4 linked regions of the Macaca mulatta genome follow. The protein of the gene in region 4 interacts with the protein of the main gene of each other region in a pairwise test. Links are inferred from orthologs where the notes say so. Each region holds a gene or a part of one and is shown on either strand. Other genes may lie near its edges. The genes, in order: TRAM1, PNRC2, MED25 and ESR1.

Region 1 (4,795 bases), on a different chromosome or scaffold from region 4:
TGAATATCTTTCCTTTTGAATATATTTCCTTTATACGCTCCTTAAAAGAAATACGTCTCTTGTGAACCCCTAATTTTTCACCCCTCCTCCACATCCTCACTTTCAGAAAGCTTCCCAAGCATCCCTAACATTTTTTGACCATTCAATTTTTCCTAACTCAAATATGAAGCCATTCATTGTATACTATAATTTGAATTATGTGGACAGATACTGACTGTAATAAAACTATGATTCTAAAATTTACACGCCATTTTTGATTAATGTGAAGTTCCCTGGAAATTAAACTCTTACATTACCACCAAACAGACTACTTTGTTAGCCTTTTCAGTATGTATAATCTCTTTAGATGCTAACTAAAGAGATTCCAGGCCCTTCTCTCACATAAAAATGTTTTCTACTTCCCAATTTTGGTGAGTTTTTAAAGAATAATAATAGCTACCACTTATTGCATGCCTCTTGCAAGCCAAGCATTGAACTAGGCTTAATACATATTGGTTAATTTAATTATCAGACTAACCCAATAAGCCCCATTTTGCAGATGAGGAAACTTCAGTTCTGAGCTGCCTTAGGTCAACCAGTTAGCAAGCTGCAGAGCCCTAACTTGAACATGAATCCCTTCAGCTCCAGAATCCATGCTTTTACAGTGTATCTGCATTGCTTCTTCATTTTGGCTAGTAATACAGTATTTCTTTCTTTGTTAATTTCTTTGTCGATTTCACCATAAATCCTCTGACATTTCCTTAATGTATCTGCACAACAGGCTTAACAGTTCTGCAAAAAAAAAAATCAATTTCTCTATTATTCTAGCACAAGTACTGTAATTCTATAATTACGTTAATTTTGAGATTCAGCAGCAATTGTTTTAAAAGTCGAATAGCAAAACTAACCTAGTCTACACATTCCTATATATAGATAACATGCTTTGAAATCCTAACACCTTAACATATGGTAAGAAAAAGGAACAACTCGCAGAAACTTCACTTTTGTGTATCACTTTAATGCTCACTTTTGAATTGACTTAAAAAACCTCTAGTATTTTTGTCTGTTTAGATTTTCAAATTTTACAAATTTATATAAAGGTGAAAATCCACTGTTAAAAAAAAATCACTAACATGTGAGGCAAGGTATAGGTGGTGGACTTCCCTAGAAATATAGTAAGAGAATGGAAAATAGTTTATATAAAATTAAAGTTATACTATGTGTCAGAATTTCTGATTTATATTTCATTTCATTCAAAGCACTGCAAATGTACCTTGCAGGTCATGGTACCCCTAAAATATGTTTTTAAAGTCAGGAAATCTTAACATGTGGAGATGGTTTATGACAAGTTACATAAAATTGAATATACTACATATATTAAAGTATCACTTTAAGATCAAAGTAGAAAGTATATATAAGTATCAAATTCAGAAAGTGAATACAAATGTTTAGCGTTGGGTTTTTTTTTTGTTTTGTTTTTTTTTTGGAGACAGGGTCTTGCTCTGTCCTTCAGGCTGGAATGCAGTGGTGAAACCTTGGCTCACTACAGCCTGCACCTCCTGGGCTCAAGTAACTATCCCACCTCAGCCTCCCAGTTGCCACCACAGGTGCGTGCTATCACTCCTGGCTAATTTTTTAAAAATCATTTGTAGAGACAAGCTCTCCCTATGTTGCCTAGGCTGGTCTCGAACTCCTGTACTCCAGTGATTCTCCCACCTTGGCCTCCCAAAGTGTTGGGACTTACAGGCGTGAGCCAGCGCACCAGGCCTAGCACTGTATTTACCTTCACACCATATTATCTGAACCTTGCAAAAAATGGCTGTGAGGAGAACAGTACAGGTGATATTATTTCCTTATAAAGAGCAGAAAAATTGAGACTCAGACTTGGGGCACCCAGGAAGTAGGTGGCACAGCCCAGACTTAAAGCTTGAGAATGTTAGTTCCCTTCTACCTACCCTTTACTATACCCGCTACATCCTTAGCAGTGGTTTCAAACATGCACGACACCATCAGGAGTAAATGATATCTGTATCTAGATCCAGAAAAGCCCATTTGATGAGAGGCGAAAATAAGGTTAAAATATTATTTAATTTTAAAATTTAAAAAAAAAAGGCTCCATGAAAAAAAATGTATTCACATTTTGGTCACTGGTAATGTCACTGCATTAGGTTTTCTCAAGGATTCTTAATGTCGCTCATATTTTTTTAAGCACTCCTATATCCCAGGCACTATCCTAGACTCTGGAAATACAGACTCTTAAAAATACTCCAAAATCTCTACTCTCACTTGTTACATGCAGGAGAGAGGAGACAAAACAAGGCAGGAGCAAAATAATTTGTATATTTACTGAGACATAAGGGCTCCAGAGAAAAATTAAGGGGAAAAAGCAAAGGAATGAGCGCGTGTATTGACAAGCGAGGGGAAAAACGTAGGATGTTACTCGTTCACCTTGCAAAGTTTATCATCCACATTCAACAGCTGTTAAATAAGCCATCAAAATACTAGATACGTGGGAAGAGAATTTACACACTCCTGACATTCCTATCCTCTCCTACTTCAAGAAACAAAATTACTCGACTCCTTGGCACCGCAGTTCAGAACCTCGATTTATCCATCAGACCTTGTTTCTTTAAAGCATCAGGGCAAAAAGTTCGTTAACTGGTAATAATACCAGTTGAAAAGACAGAAATTAAAACAATCCGGCGTGCCTCCACCGTGCCGGTGCCCGGCGGCCACCGCCCTTCAAGTCGAAAGCAGATGCCCGACTCCAGTTTCTCGCTCACCCCAATCTCGGAGCTACCGGGGGGCCCCCCTGTCACTCGGGCCTGTGGCCTCCAGGCCGGCACTCCTCAGACCCTGGGGCCGGGCTTCCGCCTTCCTCGGCCCTCGCGGGGCTGACGCTTCAGCGGCAGATGCTGGCAGTACCCCCAAGTCCGCCCACCCGCCCCGAGCCAGCTCGGCAGCGCAGGGGCCGCCCCCGCCCGCCCGCCCGCCCGCCCGCCGGCCCCTCGCCGGCTGCCACGTAACCCTTCGCGGGAACCAGGAACTGCGCCGCGCAGCCGGAGGGAGGGGGCGGCGGCGGGTCAGGAAGGGGGCGACGCGGCCGTCCCCACCCCCCTGCGGGCCGCGATGAGGCCCACCGGGACTTTGCATCCCCGGGCCGGCCGCTGGGGAGCTGCCGCCGGCGTGGGGCGGGACATGGCAGGCCTGCACCTCGGGGACTGGGGGGTCCGCACCTACCCCGGACCCGAGCCCCCCGCGGTCCTGGGCGGAGAAGCCGGGGCTGGCAGCTGGAGCCCGGGCCTGGGCAGGGGGTGGCGGGGCAGGCGGTTGGGGCTCGGGGCGGGCTCACCTCAAACATGAGCCCCAGCAGGAAGACCATCGCCACACAGGAGACGATGTCCGCGTGATTCTGCAGGACGAATTCGTGGCTCAGCACCGGGGGGCTCTTGGTGCTCTTCTTGCGAATCGCCATGGTGGGGCCGCCGCCCGCGCCTGCAGGTGCTCCACCCCGGCTCTGCTCTTCCCAGCTGCTCACCGACTCGCCGCCGCCGCCGCCTCCCCCTGGCTGCTCCTCACGGCCCCGCTGCAGCCGCTCGCTGGGGCTTCACTTCCCATCCCACAGCCAGTACGCAGCCGCCGGGCCGCCCGGGAGGAAAAAAAAAAAAGAAAAAAAAAAAAACAAACAAAAAAAACAGCCAGCCCGCAGCGGCGGCGAGCATGCGCACCAGGGAGATGACGCTCGCTAGTGCCGCGGCCTCCTCCGCGAGGCCACAGCGCCACCTGGGGACCGGAGGCCGCTGGCTCGCGGCCGGGCGAGTTTGCTGGAAAGTGAGCGGCGCGCCCCTGCTACGCACCGGGCCCGGGTTTGGGAGTCGTTTGAGGCGCGAGCTTCCTCCGCCTGCTCAGCAGCCTGAGACAGCGACCGGGTGCTCTCCCGCCCTCCTGGCCACCCAGGGATTGGGTGTCAGTGGCCTGTTGCACACTGCCACTTCTACAAGTGACTGCCACCGTCAGGATAATATAAAACTACAAATACTACCTGACTCCACAGGGGTACGGTGTATTCTCCAGTTTTAGCGTCTGCCTTAAAAAATTAACCTTAGAGTTAAGCACTCCCGGGGACTTATTTCTACCCTTTGTAAGTTTGGACTAACTTTAAAAAAAAGCTGACCCTATTCTGGTCTGCCTGTCCATCCCCACCCCCATCCCTGTCCCCGTCACCGTCCCCATCCCTACCCCCATCCCCCACTGGCCTCAGACTGAAGACGAAGGGATCAGTTTGGGTTTACTGGCTTCACGTATATTTAAATTAACAACATGTTTTAGTAATCAAAAAGTTGAAAAGGATCGTGGAAAAGGCACGTCCTCCTCTTATCGTTTTGCCCAAACCAGGAGTCCTTTGTATTCTTTTTCCTGAAGAATTGCTCTCCTGTTTACCCATGAGCCAAATGTAGAAACCAAAGTCATGCTAGATTGAGCCCTTTCAGGGCCCTTCCGCATCCGGTCATCACCAACCCGGGGCAGTCCTATCACCCCGCTTCTCCACTACCACAGTCCGAGGGGACTTGCCTCTTGCCTACAATATTACAACTCTGGTGTAACCACTTAGTGGTTTAAGAATGTGGCTTGTTAAATCAGAATTCTGCCACTTATTACTTGTATGATCAAGGACAAGTTACTTAATCTCTATGGGACCCCATTTCCTCATTTTTAAAAACGTATTCATTTATGTACTTACTGAGGGTTGACTATGCCCTGGGCACTGGGGATATAGAACTGAAATACAAATTAATTTATTCTTATGGGGGAGAGA
Region 2 (4,984 bases), on a different chromosome or scaffold from region 4:
GTTAATCTTTGGGCTTAGAGGAGGAAAAAAAAAATAGTCCCATACTGCATTTCACATCTCTTAAAAATAGTTTTAGCAGCTTAAACCTTTTTAGTTATAAAACTTACTACACTCGGATTTACTTTGAAATGTAGTTTACAATCAAGTATAACATACGTACACTGGCACTTTAGCACAAGGGCAAACTTTAAAAACAAATTATTTTGGACCTTTAAAATTAGGCCATACTATAAAAAACAGTCCACGGTCTTACATTCAGCAAATTCATACTAAAATATTCCATTTTTGTAAGATAAAGGCCAATAAAACTTTACATATGCTACAAGTTTATTACAGATATGTACATGGCTCTTTCTCCCCTAGGTACTTAAAATTTTCACATTATCCAACTCCCCAAAGCAAGCTTTGCAGGAATGATGAGGCCAGATCACTATTAGAATAGCTTGTGCAGTGCTGTAATACAAAAATGTATTTTGAAAGCTATTGAGTGACCATTAAATACTGTTTCTATAAAAAATGGTTTTGGTGTATTTGTTGACACTTAATCCACTATATTTAATAAACAGGGCCATTGGGATGTACTATGTCTCATTCTAATGAGCTCCAAATGCCCTTTCCACCCACTGTACAATTCACTAAAATGCAATTATTACAAAAAATTCACATTTTCTTTCAGCAGTGCATCAGGTTGTTAGCATATTACTGGTTTGGGTGTTTCTAATATACTAAACTTTCAGATGTTTACCTAATTCTGAATCCTTGTGTTAGCTTGAAGCTTATAATCTGATTCACCAACTTTCAACAATCTACTCCATGAATGATAAATTACTATCTTCCCCTAACAATAGAAAAAGCTGATTCCTTTACCACTCCCCAAATCTAAACTTGGTTTCCACTTAAAAGTTACTCAGTTGAGAACACTTAATATCAAATACCATTAGTTTAAGTTGCACTGATACTACCATTGTATCACAGTGCACACAAGATCGTCTATTTTTTTTACATTAATTAGCAGTTCTACACAAATAGATTAATTCCTTAGCGAATGTTTCAGACCAATTGACAACTACCCGCGAACATAATTTTAACATTTGTCTTACTTTATACCTGTACTTTAAGTAAGGTTTTAAGTTGAAATGTCATTATTTCCTTATCTGAAGGATTAAAGGAAACAGGGACCCAGTGGCTTGGTGGTTTGGGAAGAACACTTGGTGATGGTGGCTCACTAAATTTGGCACCAGCATAGTTCTGATTAGCTTGAGATTTAAAAAGTAAGCTGGGACCTGATAAGCTAGAATTCCAACTCTGATTATTTGGAAAATTTTTGTTCTTCCCCCCACTTTGCATAGCCTGCCAAGCAGCTGCTGATGAGTTATAACCATGTCCTCTTTCTTTTTTCTTATGAACAATCTTCATCTGGGAATTCTGATCCTTGGTCTTCTGTCTGTTAAGCTGTTGTTGGTTCTTACTAACATTTCTAGATTGAGGGGCTGGAATGTTATACCGCTCTCCACCACCCATCTTCAGCTTCTTTGTCACCTACAAGTGAATGGAAACAAATATTGAGTAAAATTCCATTAAGTTCAAATCTGTAAAAAGCTTCTATGGCTCCAACTTATAACTCCAGATATTTTGAACAAGACTCAGTAATAGGCTATTCAGCTGCTTTAAATTAAAAAAGCAAGCTGTTTAGACTCCAATATATGCACAACCTTTATTATTATACCGTCTCTAAGAAAAATGAGCTTACCCACAAATCAGCATAATCTATTTTAAAATAAAAACAATTGGTTTAGGATGGCTCCATCATAAAATGTTTGCCCATTATGATGATTACCTTTCAGTCTGCTTTTCAGATTGCAGGATCTCCACTACCTGTCCTCTTCCTTGCTGCCAAGCCCAAGATAACAAGTGTTGCTTTCTGACAGATCCTTTCCTTTGTCTCAATACAGAAGTTTTCATGGGCCGATCTGCTGAGTTCAGCCTAGGAGCTGAGGCCAACATCTGAGTCTCCTCAGCACACAAGTTTGAGAGAAGTCCTAGCTAGAAAAGTAAAGATTACTTCATTATTTCAAAAACACGTTGAGAAAGTGATCATTTAGATTTACTACAAAAATCGTTGACTGTAAAGAAGGCTACTTCCTGAACTAAAAGGTAGAAAATTTAAGATGGCTTTGACCTCATAACCACGATCATTTAAAAACTCTTCACCCTTGAGACCCAGTCACTCCTGGGGAATTTTTGGAAATGTCTCGAAGTCCCGCAGTAAGTTTTGTTTTTATCTTTTTCCTGGGAAAGATCTTCAGATTCTCTCACGTATAAAATCAAATAACGAGTGTTAAAATGTTAAGAGTCATCAAAAAATTGGCTTCAGGCGGATTTTCAAAAGAGACCGTGTTTTTAAACTCCCACCAGAATTTTCCAATCTTTCCACACACGTCACATCCATTTTCAGTCTCTTGGAACATGTAGACATCACGCAGTGTTTCCTTTGGTTGTGAACACCCTCGCCTCCTCCCCGTCTTAAAATAAGTTCTCACAAGCCCTAACACTCTAAGCCCATCTTAAATCTATAAAAATGTCTCCCTAGAGGGAACAGCTCAACATTCAAGGTTTGGTTTTAATTTGATGTTCCAAGAAAATAAGTTACCAAATAGTTAAGCCCCCTCCTTTCAAAGGGGTAAGAGAGCCTTCCAAACAGATAAACCACCCTAAATAAATTGCCATTTCCGGACTGTGAGTCATTCACAACTCGAACTCGGAAAACTCGCCGCCTCCGACGCCACACAGGCTTGGCTTCCCAGTGGCCCCATCTCTCCGGAGCCGCAGGGGTCGGGGCGCTGCGACCGCCCGCGCCCGCCCGGATCTCGCCTCCGCTCGCCTCCTTCCCCCAACAATGGGGAGCGCAGCCACCAACATGGCCGCGCCCGCTGCACAGCCGCTACTTACCGACTTCAAGCTCGGAACTACGGCGGCAGTGGCTCCCTCTCGACGTCGAAGCCTCCCTCCCTTTCCAGGGAGAGACGAGGCACGGACCGACAAAGCCCACGAACACCGATGAGCGAGCTGCCGGTCACCCTAGCTTCTACAACCCAACCTCCTCCTTCTGCCTCTACCGACAAAATGGAGTCGGCGGCGACCGCAGAAGCAGGGCCGGGCGGCTCCGCGGCCAATCAAAACACGACAGCGCAGGCCTGGCCAATGAGAAGCGGGCCGCCGCCTGTTGCTGGGGCAGGCCGGGGGCGAAGGCGGGGAGGTGGGGCTGCCGAGGGTTTGAAATCCGCCCGGGGAGGAGGAGCATGCCGGGAGTAACTGCCCGGTCCGCCGGTGTTCACGGCCTTACCACCGCGGCCTCCCCGCGCCCCTGGCCCCCCAAGGCCCCGGCCGCTAGCTCTCGGCTCTTCCTCCCGCTCGGCTCGTGCGCGCGGGCTCGCTGCCCTTGGGACTGCCCTGAGGGAAAAGACTGACCGGCGGGGGACGTTTGGCTCTCGAATTAGGGCCACTGAGTCGCGTAGCCTGTATTGACAGATGGAGGATACTCCAGAAAGCCGCTTGCCAGGGCCCAGCCCCCGCCCGCCTCGGGCCTCGACTTCTGGGTCGCCTCTCTCCCACATTCACAACTCCGCATCCGAAGTCGGCGCGTCCCTGCGGTTCCCTCCGGTGCCCCCCACCCTCCAGCCCCGCAGTTACTCAAAAGTTGCCTCCGTGTGAAGGCGGTTCAGACACACGCGGGCAAGTCAGTCACTTCCTGCTTGGTGGCCCCATTGGCCCTTAAGTTCAGTTAGAGCCCTTAACGCGCCGTGTTACAGTTTCCTGTGGCAGCAGCTCTCCCCACCCACACACCCTCGAGGGCCACAACCGGTTAGGTTTTGTTTCTCTGACCGCAGCGCCTTCGCGCGTGGTAAGTGCACAGTAAGTTTGCTGAGAGAATGAGGGCTGCTCCCTTCCCCTTTTTGCCCCACTTGTAAGTGAAAAAAAGGAAAGAAAGAGAATATTGTTTAGTTGATTATGCCAGCCAGATGCAGGTAAGGGGAAAATGGCAATTTCTTTGGAGTACGTGTGTGAGCAACCCAGTGTGAATCTTTTAAAAGAGAACACTAATTTCAATGAGCGTGAATAATTCTGGGATAAACGGTACAAAATCAAGTCTCATTACATTCCCAGTTTGTTCGTGTATACACATGGATACATACATACGTAAGTTTACATTAAATAATTTGTATTTACCAACTTCTTATAAATCTCATGTAATTTGTCGTTTATTTTTGAAACGGAGTCTCGCACTGTCGCCCAGGCTGGAGTGCAGTGGCACAATCTCGGCTCACTGCAACCTGCGCCTCCTGGGCTCAAGCGATTCTCCTGCCTCAGCCTCCTGAGTAGCAGGGATTACAGGCGCCCGCCAACACACCCTGCTAATTTTTGTATTTTTAGTAGAGACAGGAGTTCACCATGTTGGCCAGGCTGGTCTCGAACTCCTTACCTCACGTGATCCGCCCGCCTCAGCCACTCAAAGTGCTGGGATTACAGGCGTGAGCCACCACACCCGGCCTGTATTTCGTTTTTTAATCTTCAATTTTTTGCCACCGTCATCCCCCACTTCCCAATCCAACCCAAATTCCTATATTCTAGCCATTGGATCTTAAGGAAAGTTACTGCATCTTAAGAGATGCAGTTTGTTAATCTAGTTTGATAAAAGAGGTATTTTTGAGCATAGGGACTTTCTGATGCTAATCATAGTCAAATAAGAAGAATGTGGTAAACCAACAGGTGTCTCAGTGAAAGGGTAATCTGTTTTCCAAACATTCAAGAAGTTTGCTTAGACATCTAGCCAGATAATAGTCAGCTGTATTTAATGAATTTTTAATGGTGTCACTTTAAAAAACAAAAAATTCCGTGGCTCCAGATTGTAATACAGAATAAAATCTAAACTCTAAACGTTTAGAAAATCATTCAAAGTAATTGCAGTCTAGAATTAGTCTTTTCA
Region 3 (4,342 bases), on a different chromosome or scaffold from region 4:
GTTTCTCATCCTTGGCCTTAGTGACCCTGTGGACACAATCATTTCTTGTAGTGGGGGCTGTCCTGGGTATTGTAGGATGTTTAACAGCATCCTTGGCCTCTACTCACTAGATACCAGTAGCCCCCTCCCAAAGATGTGACAACCAAAAATGTCTCCAGGCATTATAAAATATGCCCTGCCACATGGCCCTGCCAGGCCTCCAGTGCGCTGAGTACTCAGCAGACGGTTCCTAGGCCTTGTGTGACCTGGGGCTCAGACACCTTGGTGTCTCTCATGGAGGACTGCACATGGTGTGGAGAGAAGCTTGACAGCTGCAGTATCAGGTGATCTATGATGTGATTAAGGGCAGGCCCTAAAATTAGGTGGCACGTAGGGAAGGCTTCCTGCAGGAGGGCACACCAGGATGGGTGTCGTAGCTTCACTGGATTCCATCTGGGCTGGAATGGGTGTGTTCCAGCACATGCAGAGACCTGGATGTCTGGGCTTCATCAGTCAAGAGGACCTATAGGCGCGGGCATGGAGCAGGAGAGCAGGGTGCAGGACTCAAAGGCCTCGGATGCCAGGCCAAGGGCCTGGGTTGGTTCCAGCCTTGATGAACAGGGTTGGGCTTGTAGCCATTTGTTCATTTAGCTTACATTTCCTGAGGCCTCCCGTGTGCCCCACTGTGGTGGGCAAGCCTGGGGGTGAGAGAGGACTCAGACCCCATCCCGGCCTTGGGGGAGGTAGGGTCAGAGACCACATTTCAGAGGGACAGGGCCCTCAAGACCCTCAGAGGGGCGCTCAGTCTCCACACACGTCCCCTGCAGCAAAGATCAGCCTCTTACAACTATGTGACTGGAAGAATGGTGGCAACCACAGCTGCCCTTGAGGAGAGGCCATCCCCAGGCCACAACCCATGTGGGACAGATGCTGCGACGCAACTGCAGATCAGGCGGAGGAGAAACGAGAGTCTGTATGTGTTAGTTTCCCAGGCTGCTGTAGCAAAGTATGAGAAACTGGCCAGAAGAATGGAAATCGATGTCTCAGGGTCTTGGAGGCTGGAAGTCCAAAATCCAGGTGGTAGGGCCAGGCTGTCTCTGAAACCTTATAGGGGAAGGGCCCTTCTGCCTCTCCCGGCGCCTGGTGCGCCCAGACCTTCCTGGCTGAGGCTGCATCACCCATCCTCACGTGGCCTCTCCCTGTGTCTCTGTGTCCCTGTGTCTTCCCTCTGTATGTGTGTCCGTGTCCACGTTTCTGCTTTTCACAGACACCAGCCATAGTGGATTAGGGTCTGCAATTTAACTCGATTACCTGTGTAAAGATCTTTCCAAATCAGGTCACCTTCTGAGGTACTGGGACTTAGGACCTCAACTTGTCTTTTTGAGGGGGGCACACTTCAGCCCATAAGACTGGGAGGACAGAGGAGGCCCCCATCTCTGGCCGGGAAGGTGAAGTGGGGCCAGGACTGATTTGGAGCAGACAGCCCAGAGAGGGAAGGGGACAGCAGGAGGCTGGGCAGGGAGTCAGTCACTCCAGGGTTGGAGTCAGCACAGGATCCTAGGCTTGGGGTTCCCAGCCCTTTCCCATTCCCTCCCAGTCCTCATGATTAAGACAATAAATGTCGGCTGGGCGCGGTGGCTCACGTTTGTAATCCCAGCACTTTGGGAGGCCGAGGCGGGTGGATCATGAGGTCAGGAGACCGAGACCATCTTGGCGAACACGGTGAAACCCTGTCGCTACTAAAAACACAAAAAATTTGCTGGGCGTGGTGGCAGGCACCTGTAGTTCCAGCTACTCAGGAGGCTGAGGCAGGAGAATGGCATGAACCTGGGAGGTGGAGCTTGCAGTGAGCCGAGATTGCGCCACTGCACTCCAGCCTGGGTGACAGAGCAAGACTCCATCTCAAAAAAACAAAAAAACGCACACAACAAGTGTCCCCTGTCCTGTCTGGTACTGATGCTGTGCTAGCACCAGGGATCGGGTAGGGAACTCAGCGGTGTCCCTGTCATCCCAAGGTGCATACTCCAGGATAGGGTGGGGGACAGCATGGGAGCAGGCTTTTCAAGCATGGCCTGGGGGCAGGGATGATGGCAACCCTGGGGGCTGACTGCTCTGCCCCTACAGGTTCATGGGTGGGGGTGGCGAGAGCTGCAGCCTCATCGCGGAAGGACTCAGCACAGCCTTGCAGCTGTTTGATGACTTCAAGAAGATGCGTGAGCAGATGTGAGTGCCCCGTCTGCCCAGGCTGGGTCAGTCTCTCTCTGCCTGGCCCGGAACCACTTTGCCTGTCGAGTGGCTCTACCTCTAGCCTCACCCTGTAGGGCATGGGCTCTGTGTCCCCAAGCACGCTGAGCCAGGAGGCTGCAGGTTTGTTCTTGGGGGAGGTCTGGGCAGTGCCTGGTCTCAGCGTCCCCATCAGGAAGCAGTGCCAACTGTGGGTGTCACTCCTGCGTGCTCTGCCTGCTGGGTGACGGAGAGCACATTCCAGAACCTCTCAGGGCCTCAGTGTTGTCAGCTGTAATAAATTATGGGCGTTGCTTCTGATTCCATATGAGGCTGAATATGTGCGCCTCCACTGGTGCTGGGTCTGGGTTCCATCTCAGGGCCCCTGTTGCTGCCGGCTCCATGTCTTCTCTCATTCCTGGTAGTGGCCAGACGCACCGGGTCTGCCTCCTCATCTGCAACTCGCCTCCATACCTGTTGCCTGCTGTTGAGAGCACCACGTACTCTGGATGCACAACTGAGAATCTCGTGCAGCAGATTGGGGAGGTGAAGACTCCAGGGTCTGAGGGAGGAGGGTCTGGGGGCCAGGATTCTTGGGTTTGAGGCAGGAGGCACTGAGGGCCTGGACTCCTGGGTCTGAGGGAGGAGGCACTGGGGGCCTGGACTCCTGGGTCTGAGGGAGGAGGCACTGCGGGCCTGGACTCCTGGGTCTGAGGGAGGAGGCACTGGGGGCCTGGACTCTTGGGTCTGAGGGAGGAGGCACTGGGGGCCTGGACTCTTGGGTCTGAGGGAGGAGGCACTGGGGTCTGGACTCTTGGGTCTGAGAGAGGAGGCACTGGGGGCCTGGACTCAGTCACAGAATAGTCACAGACTGGCGACCAGCTTTGCTTACTCTCTTTTTTTGAAACAGAGTCTGGCTCTGTTACCCAGGCTGGAGTGCAGTGGTGTGATCTTGGCTTACTGCAGCCTCTGCCTCCTGGGTTCAAGCAATTCTCGTGTTTCAGCCTCCCGAGTAGCTGGGATTATAGACGCCCGCCATCACGCCCAGCTAATTTTTGTATCTTTAGTAGAGACGAGGTTTCACCATGTTGGCCAGGCTGCTTTCGAACTCCTGGCCTCACGTGATCTGCCTGACTCGGTCTCACAAAATCCTGGGATTACAGACGTGAGCCTCCACACCTAGCCCACTTAGTCTTACTGACAAAACCAGAACGTAGAGTCTCCCGGGGCAGGCAATACCAGGTTTCAGGGTCTCCTGCCTCAAAGCCCAGTGGGAATTGTGGTTGTAGGACTGGTGCTGTCCAGCCACACAGCAGCTGTGGTAGGTTGGGCGCTGGCCCCAACACCCCTATGGAGGGGGCCCGTCATGACTGCTGGGTCCCTCTCCTATAGCGGGGGATCCACTTCTCCATCGTCTCTCCCCGGAAGCTGCCTGCACTTCGGCTTCTGTTTGAGAAGGCAGCCCCCCCGGCCTTGCTAGAGCCGCTGCAGCCTCCGACAGATGTGAGCCAGGACCCAAGGCACATGGTGCTGGTTCGGGGGCTCGTGCTGCCCGGTGAGGCCTGGGCACCGCGCGCGGGGATCGGGGGCTCAACGTGTTTCCCAGCTCCCTCTGACTTGGATTTTGGATTTCTCTCCCCTTTCTCCATCTTGAATCCCTTCTTTCCGGGGTTGGCCATCCCTCCTGCTCTCAGTTGGGGGTGGCTCTGCCCCAGGCCCCCTCCAGCCAAAGCAGCCAGTCCCCCTGCCTCCTGCCGCACCCTCCGGTGCCACTCTCTCAGCAGCTCCCCAGCAGCCTCTGCCCCCCGTCCCCCCGCAGTACCAGGTATGGATGTTTCCAGGAAGGGACATGCTTCTGGGGACTTGCTGGAGCCCTGGCCCCTGGGGAGAGATCTAGTTGCATGTTGGAGCTTGTGGGATGATGGGAGTCCCATGGGACATTGGGAGGGTGGGACTCCTGGGGCCATGGAAGCTCATCTGCTAGGTGATGGGTGTCGTGAGCTTCTGAGCTCTCCCAGCTGGGGCAGCTGTGCCTTGTGGGGCCGTGGGTGGTGTGACCTCGTGGGACACCAGGATTGGAGGGCCATGGTCCTCACCAGTCCCTTTCCTTCTTCCCTTCTACCCACAGGTTCCTGGGAAC
Region 4 (5,104 bases):
GCCAGTAGGCAGTTGAAGAAAAAAAAAAATGACCTGGGGAAAAAAAAAAAAATCTTCCACTAATGCTGCCAGGCTGCAGGGAGCTGGAAATGAAGCACCAACAGGAGTGGGTATTTAATGGGGAAGGGAATGATCAACTGCAATTTTTTTGGTACCCAAGACTTTCCACCTTCACACACACACGAGATGCTTTGAAATAAAGATAGTCAAATGACTTAGTAAAGTTTGTTGACATAAAAATATGGGAAATACCAAAGAATATAGAAAGGAAAACTTCATTAATATTATTCAAACTTAAAATTCTAGATTGTATCAACAGTAAGGGGGTTGATGAAAACATGGGAGAAGGCCAAGGGATGTGAGATCGGGCTCAATTCTTGACTTGCTGGGGAAAGGTATCAACACAGAACTTTTAAGAATTAGAAGGCATTAAAAAGAAATAGAAATCCTGAATCAAATTGAAACAGTAAAATAAAATAGTAGAAAGATGTGTAAATGTATCACTATCACAATAACTATAAATAGGTTAAATTTGCCAGTTGAAAGAAAGGAACTATTAAATGAGATTTAAAAAATTTGGATATATGCTTTTCGTGTGAACATACCTAAAGCATATACACGTAACCAGAAAATTAAAAGATGGAAAAATCTGCAGAGAGTGACAAAGGAAAGCTGGTGCATTTGTATTAGTATCAGATAAAGCTCATGTTTAGATAAAAAACATTATAGTAATAGAGGAAGTCAAAAGGTTAAAGTTTCAATTCACCAAGAAATATCCATTCTAAACATGTATACATACCCAATTAAGCTGCCTCAAAATATATATGACAAAAATTTAGAGAATTGTAGAGTCAGATATAAGGATTGAAAAGGAAGAAATGAAACTAATTATTTTCAGATGATATATACATTTACATAAAAAACTCCAAAGAATCTTCAGATAAATTATTAGAAATTGTAGGAGAGCTCAGCAAGAAGGCAGGATATAAAATTAATATACAAAAGTCAATGTCATTTCACTATACCAGAAAAAAGACAATAACATTAGAAAATAAATCTAACATAAGATGTAGAAAAACTTATTAGAGGCAAAATTTTCTTGAGAAATATTAAAGAAGATCTAAATAAGTAGAATTACATCATATTCATGCATAAGAAGGCAACATTTTGAAGATGTCTTGTTATATATAGGCCTAGGAATAATATAGTTTTAAGTTATGTTATTTTGAACTGTAGGTGAAAGAAAGCTCTTTTTTTTCCTTTGAGTATTTTAAGATTTTGAATAAAGTCATAGTGCTCTAGGAAGGTTGTAATATTTTATACTTCGCCAGCAGTGTTTGAGAATGCTTACTTCCTACATTATAACCACCATAAATATTTAAAACCTGATAGCACACAGTTTTAAAAATTTGAAATTCTCCAATTAACAGTGACCTTTAAAAATTATGTTTACTGGTCTCCATTATTTTGTCCTTTGTAAATTTTTATTAGTTTTTCTGTTCACATGTTCCATTTTTAAAATAGACTTTTAAGAGCTGTTTGTATTAAGAATATTAAGGCTTTGTCCCTATAATTAGTATTTTTCAGAATATCCTTTCTAGGTACAGTTTTTCAGTTCTAGTGCACAGAATGGAAACTTGTTACCTGCTATACCACATTTTCACTAGGATGTGATGTATTTATCACAAACAACAGTATTGGTCAACATTTTCCCTCGCTGTGAAGTGCACATTTGACATCCTTTAGAAAAATTACTGACGGTTTTGAGACGATTGTTTTGTGCTTTCTTTCAGTCAACGTAATTTTCCCGAAAGCAGAGATGACTCTTCCAGACATGCTAACAATGCCTGAACAAACTGTGTAAGCTTAGTCCAAAAAAAATATTTGATTAATAGATTTTATTTTGGTAGATTCTAAGGTTCTAAGCAGTCAGAGAAATAATCGCAGAGCCTCAAATATCTCCAAAATCTGATACCAATCCCTTTGATTGTGAATTATATTCTGTAGCTACCAAAGAAGGTAAGTTTTAATTTTTTCTACTCTATTAACTTTCTCTTGGGCAACTGAATATTAAGATGACTATGTAAGGAGGTTATCAGACCAAGGCCTCACACATCAGGATAAAAGCACATGCCATAGAAAGAACATTTGTGTCTCACAAGGTGATACCAAGGCAAGGCTATGGGATATATATGGGCACAATGTTGATATCTTCAAAGACTTAATACATAGTCTGGAGGTTTTCAGAGATTTTAATTTATAATGACAATCTTTCAAATTAGGAGAATTTTTGGACTGTAAAGTTAGCCAAACAAGTCTTCAATGATAAAAAACGTCTATATCTTACACAGGGGGAATACATTTTTTGTTCGTTTTAATTTTTTCTCTGTCTATTCATACAGGGGCATCACATGTCTTTATCATTAAAAACTCTGATTTAGATAGACAGTTGTAGAGAAATTTAATGTGTGAGAATTTAAAGTTGTTTTATAAAGATGTAGCAAAATACAAATTTAAGACCCACAGCACCAATGAAAAAGGGAAATTAATTAAACTAGACAACTTTTATGGGTACTACCCATTAAAATTAAAATTTTAGTCATTGTAAATTATATTACATTGTAACAGTTTTCAATCTGTTGTCAAGTTGAATATTTTGGTTGACAATTGTATTTCACAGTTGTTCACACTTTGCATAATTTTCTAAGGAAAATGAGTCCCTTGGGGAGAAAATTGTTCTAAAATTTTGTTGTTGGATAATGTTGCTGCACTAACATGATTTGCTGAAGTGGATCTACCATGTGTGTTTAGGTTTTTGTTCTTTACGAAATGTGTTGGGTGAAATTTTCCATAACACTGGTGAACTTTTCATGCTAATTTTCCAGTCCGTCAGTTTAAATATTATGCATTTTTTCCTGCGAATCTATCTTGAATCTGAAAAGGCCCCAGAAGGAATTAGCATGAGTCCAGAGTAGATGGACTGCAAATGTTACTCATATTTCAACATGTATCCAGCTTTCAGAAATAGCTTACTGAAATCAAGGTTGAACCACATGAAATTTTGGGGTTTTTTTGGATGTAAAAAAGGTTAAATATTGACATTTTCATATCATCCAATCTAATATCTTCCTCTAGTGAGGTTCTGGCAAAAAAAAAAAAAAAAAAAAAGTATGATGACCCAAGTTGTTCACTCTTTTAAGCTTTATATTTCAAAATATTTTTAAAATTTAAAGCCATATAAGTGCATCCCAAAAAACATGGGAAAATTTTGTAGGCTACTTTTGTTTACTGATTTTTCTTCTATAGATTTATTTTTATGCTATGCCTGACTCTCCAATTAGATTTTAGTCATCCAGGAAAGTACAATTGCTTGTACTTCTAAGCAATTCTCCCATCACCTGGACATTAACTGCAGCCCACACTGCAGTGTCTTGACTGCAGTAGGCACTCAGTAAATATTTATTGATGGTCCTGATTATGGGATGATGAAATATGCTAAAGGTAACTTAAACTTTTGTCAATAAAACTGAGTTTCAGGTTAGTTTGACCTTTTCCGTATCTCTAAATATTTTCTTTCATGTCATTTTTGTGAAATAGCTCACAAAAGTACTTATTGATTCTGAAATCCTTTTCCCCTCTGGTATTCCTGAGCTATTCTCACACACAGCACACCAGTGCCACCGTTTGCTGTTTTGGTTAAAATCATTCTCATTAATATTCCTCATTCAGTAAAAATAGTTGATTCTCAGTTATAAATATACACTTCATATTGGCAATGTGGGATGGAAAACAAAATGATGATATTGACTCCATAAGATAAACAGCAGTCTTTAGAATAGAGTTTGGTGCATAACTGTTCTAAATGTATCAAAGTTATCTCATTTAATCCTCCCACACACCTGTGGGAAGAGAGTATTTGTCTTGCTTTACAGATAAGGAAGCTGAGGCTTAGAAGATTCATATGTCTAACTAAGATCACAGAGCTGGTAAATCAGCCAAGTTTGAGTCTAAATCCAGGTTTTAAATATCATATTACATGTAGGCATAGATAAGCAAGAACAGGTTTTCCTGAAGATGGCCAGGCTAAGGCTTAGAAGAAGGAAGCTCAAGGAGACTAAACCAAGATATGCTAAGGCAAGTTTTTTTGTTTGCTTGTTTGTTTTTGAGACCGAGTTTCGATCTTGTTGCCCAGGCTGGAGTGCTGTAGCATGATGTTGGCTCACCACAACCTCCGCCTCCTGGGTTCAAGTGATTCTCCTGCCTCAGCCTCCCGAGTAGCTGGGATTATAGGCATGCACCACCATGCCCAGCTAATTTTGTATTTTTAGTAGAAACGGTGTTTCACTATGTTGGCCAGGCTGGTGTCGAACTCCTGACCTCAGCTGATCCGCCCACCTCAGCCTCCCAAAGTGCTGGGATTACAGGCATGAGCCACTGCGCCTGGCCTGCTAAGGTAAGTATTAACCATTAGAGATGACTAGTCCCAGTGACAGGTCTTTCCTACTGGGAGTCAGCCAAGAGCTCCCCACTTTTCTGGTTCCGTTGTTCCTCCTGCAAAGTTCCATTCATAAAGTGGTTTCCCATTTGATTGTCCAATGATGCAAATCTCCAGTCCTTTATAGCATTGAGTTTCTCATGGCCTTTTACCGTTGAGTTTCTCATGGCTAATGAATGCTAATGAATTGGTGTTCCCATTTATCTATAGGATTCCATGAGTCAGCCTCTAAAAGAAGGTTCCACTCCCTCACTGTGGGTACCGTCTGGGAATTAGACCCTTAATAGGAGTAATTCACCAAGCAATGTCTTCTGTAATAACGCTCCAGTCTCACTGAGAGCTTTCTATTCAAAACAACAATCTAAAGGTCTACAGTGTGACTTTCAACTAAACTGAAAAAAGAATAGAAAATGAATGTATGTGATGTACACATTCATTCAACTTCTTATCCCTAAAATTCATAGCAGATTATGACTGATCATTAAAGCCAAATTAAGGAGGCAAAAGGTATAAAACAAAAGGAACTATCAGGCATAATAGTCTTTAAAGTAAAACATTACTACTGACAGTTGCTTGTGTGAAAGATATCTTTATTTAATATGGTAAAAA

What was found.
Region 1: the proteins of ESR1 (region 4) and TRAM1 interact in a two-hybrid assay, tested with the Homo sapiens proteins (2 studies listed by BioGRID). The link is inferred for Macaca mulatta from reciprocal best matches to the Homo sapiens genes ESR1 and TRAM1.
Region 2: the proteins of ESR1 (region 4) and PNRC2 interact in a two-hybrid assay, tested with the Homo sapiens proteins (2 studies listed by BioGRID and IntAct). The link is inferred for Macaca mulatta from reciprocal best matches to the Homo sapiens genes ESR1 and PNRC2.
Region 3: the proteins of ESR1 (region 4) and MED25 interact in a two-hybrid assay, tested with the Homo sapiens proteins (2 studies listed by BioGRID). The link is inferred for Macaca mulatta from reciprocal best matches to the Homo sapiens genes ESR1 and MED25.

Annotation. Positions count from the first base shown.
Region 1 is NC_133413.1:81,247,852-81,252,646, forward strand, and holds the start of TRAM1 (translocating chain-associated membrane protein 1), read right to left. Parts: upstream 3,002-4,795; 5' UTR 2,763-3,001; intron 1-2,762. UniProt on the Homo sapiens protein: Involved in the translocation of nascent protein chains into or through the endoplasmic reticulum (ER) membrane by facilitating the proper chain positioning at the SEC61 channel.
Region 2 is NC_133406.1:217,017,586-217,022,569, forward strand, and holds the start of PNRC2 (proline-rich nuclear receptor coactivator 2), read right to left. Parts: upstream 3,121-4,984; 5' UTR 2,950-3,120; intron 2,044-2,949; 5' UTR 1,838-2,043; intron 1,540-1,837; 5' UTR 1,522-1,539; coding exon 1,102-1,521; 3' UTR 1-1,101. UniProt on the Homo sapiens protein: Involved in nonsense-mediated mRNA decay (NMD) by acting as a bridge between the mRNA decapping complex and the NMD machinery. May act by targeting the NMD machinery to the P-body and recruiting the decapping machinery to aberrant mRNAs.
Region 3 is NC_133424.1:62,289,894-62,294,235, forward strand, and holds part of MED25 (mediator of RNA polymerase II transcription subunit 25), read left to right. Parts: intron 1-2,103; coding exon 2,104-2,202; intron 2,203-2,627; coding exon 2,628-2,748; intron 2,749-3,594; coding exon 3,595-3,757; intron 3,758-3,896; coding exon 3,897-4,027; intron 4,028-4,330; coding exon 4,331-4,342. UniProt on the Homo sapiens protein: Component of the Mediator complex, a coactivator involved in the regulated transcription of nearly all RNA polymerase II-dependent genes.
Region 4 is NC_133409.1:70,390,943-70,396,046, forward strand, and holds the start of ESR1 (estrogen receptor), read left to right. Parts: upstream 1-1,886; 5' UTR 1,887-2,019; intron 2,020-5,104.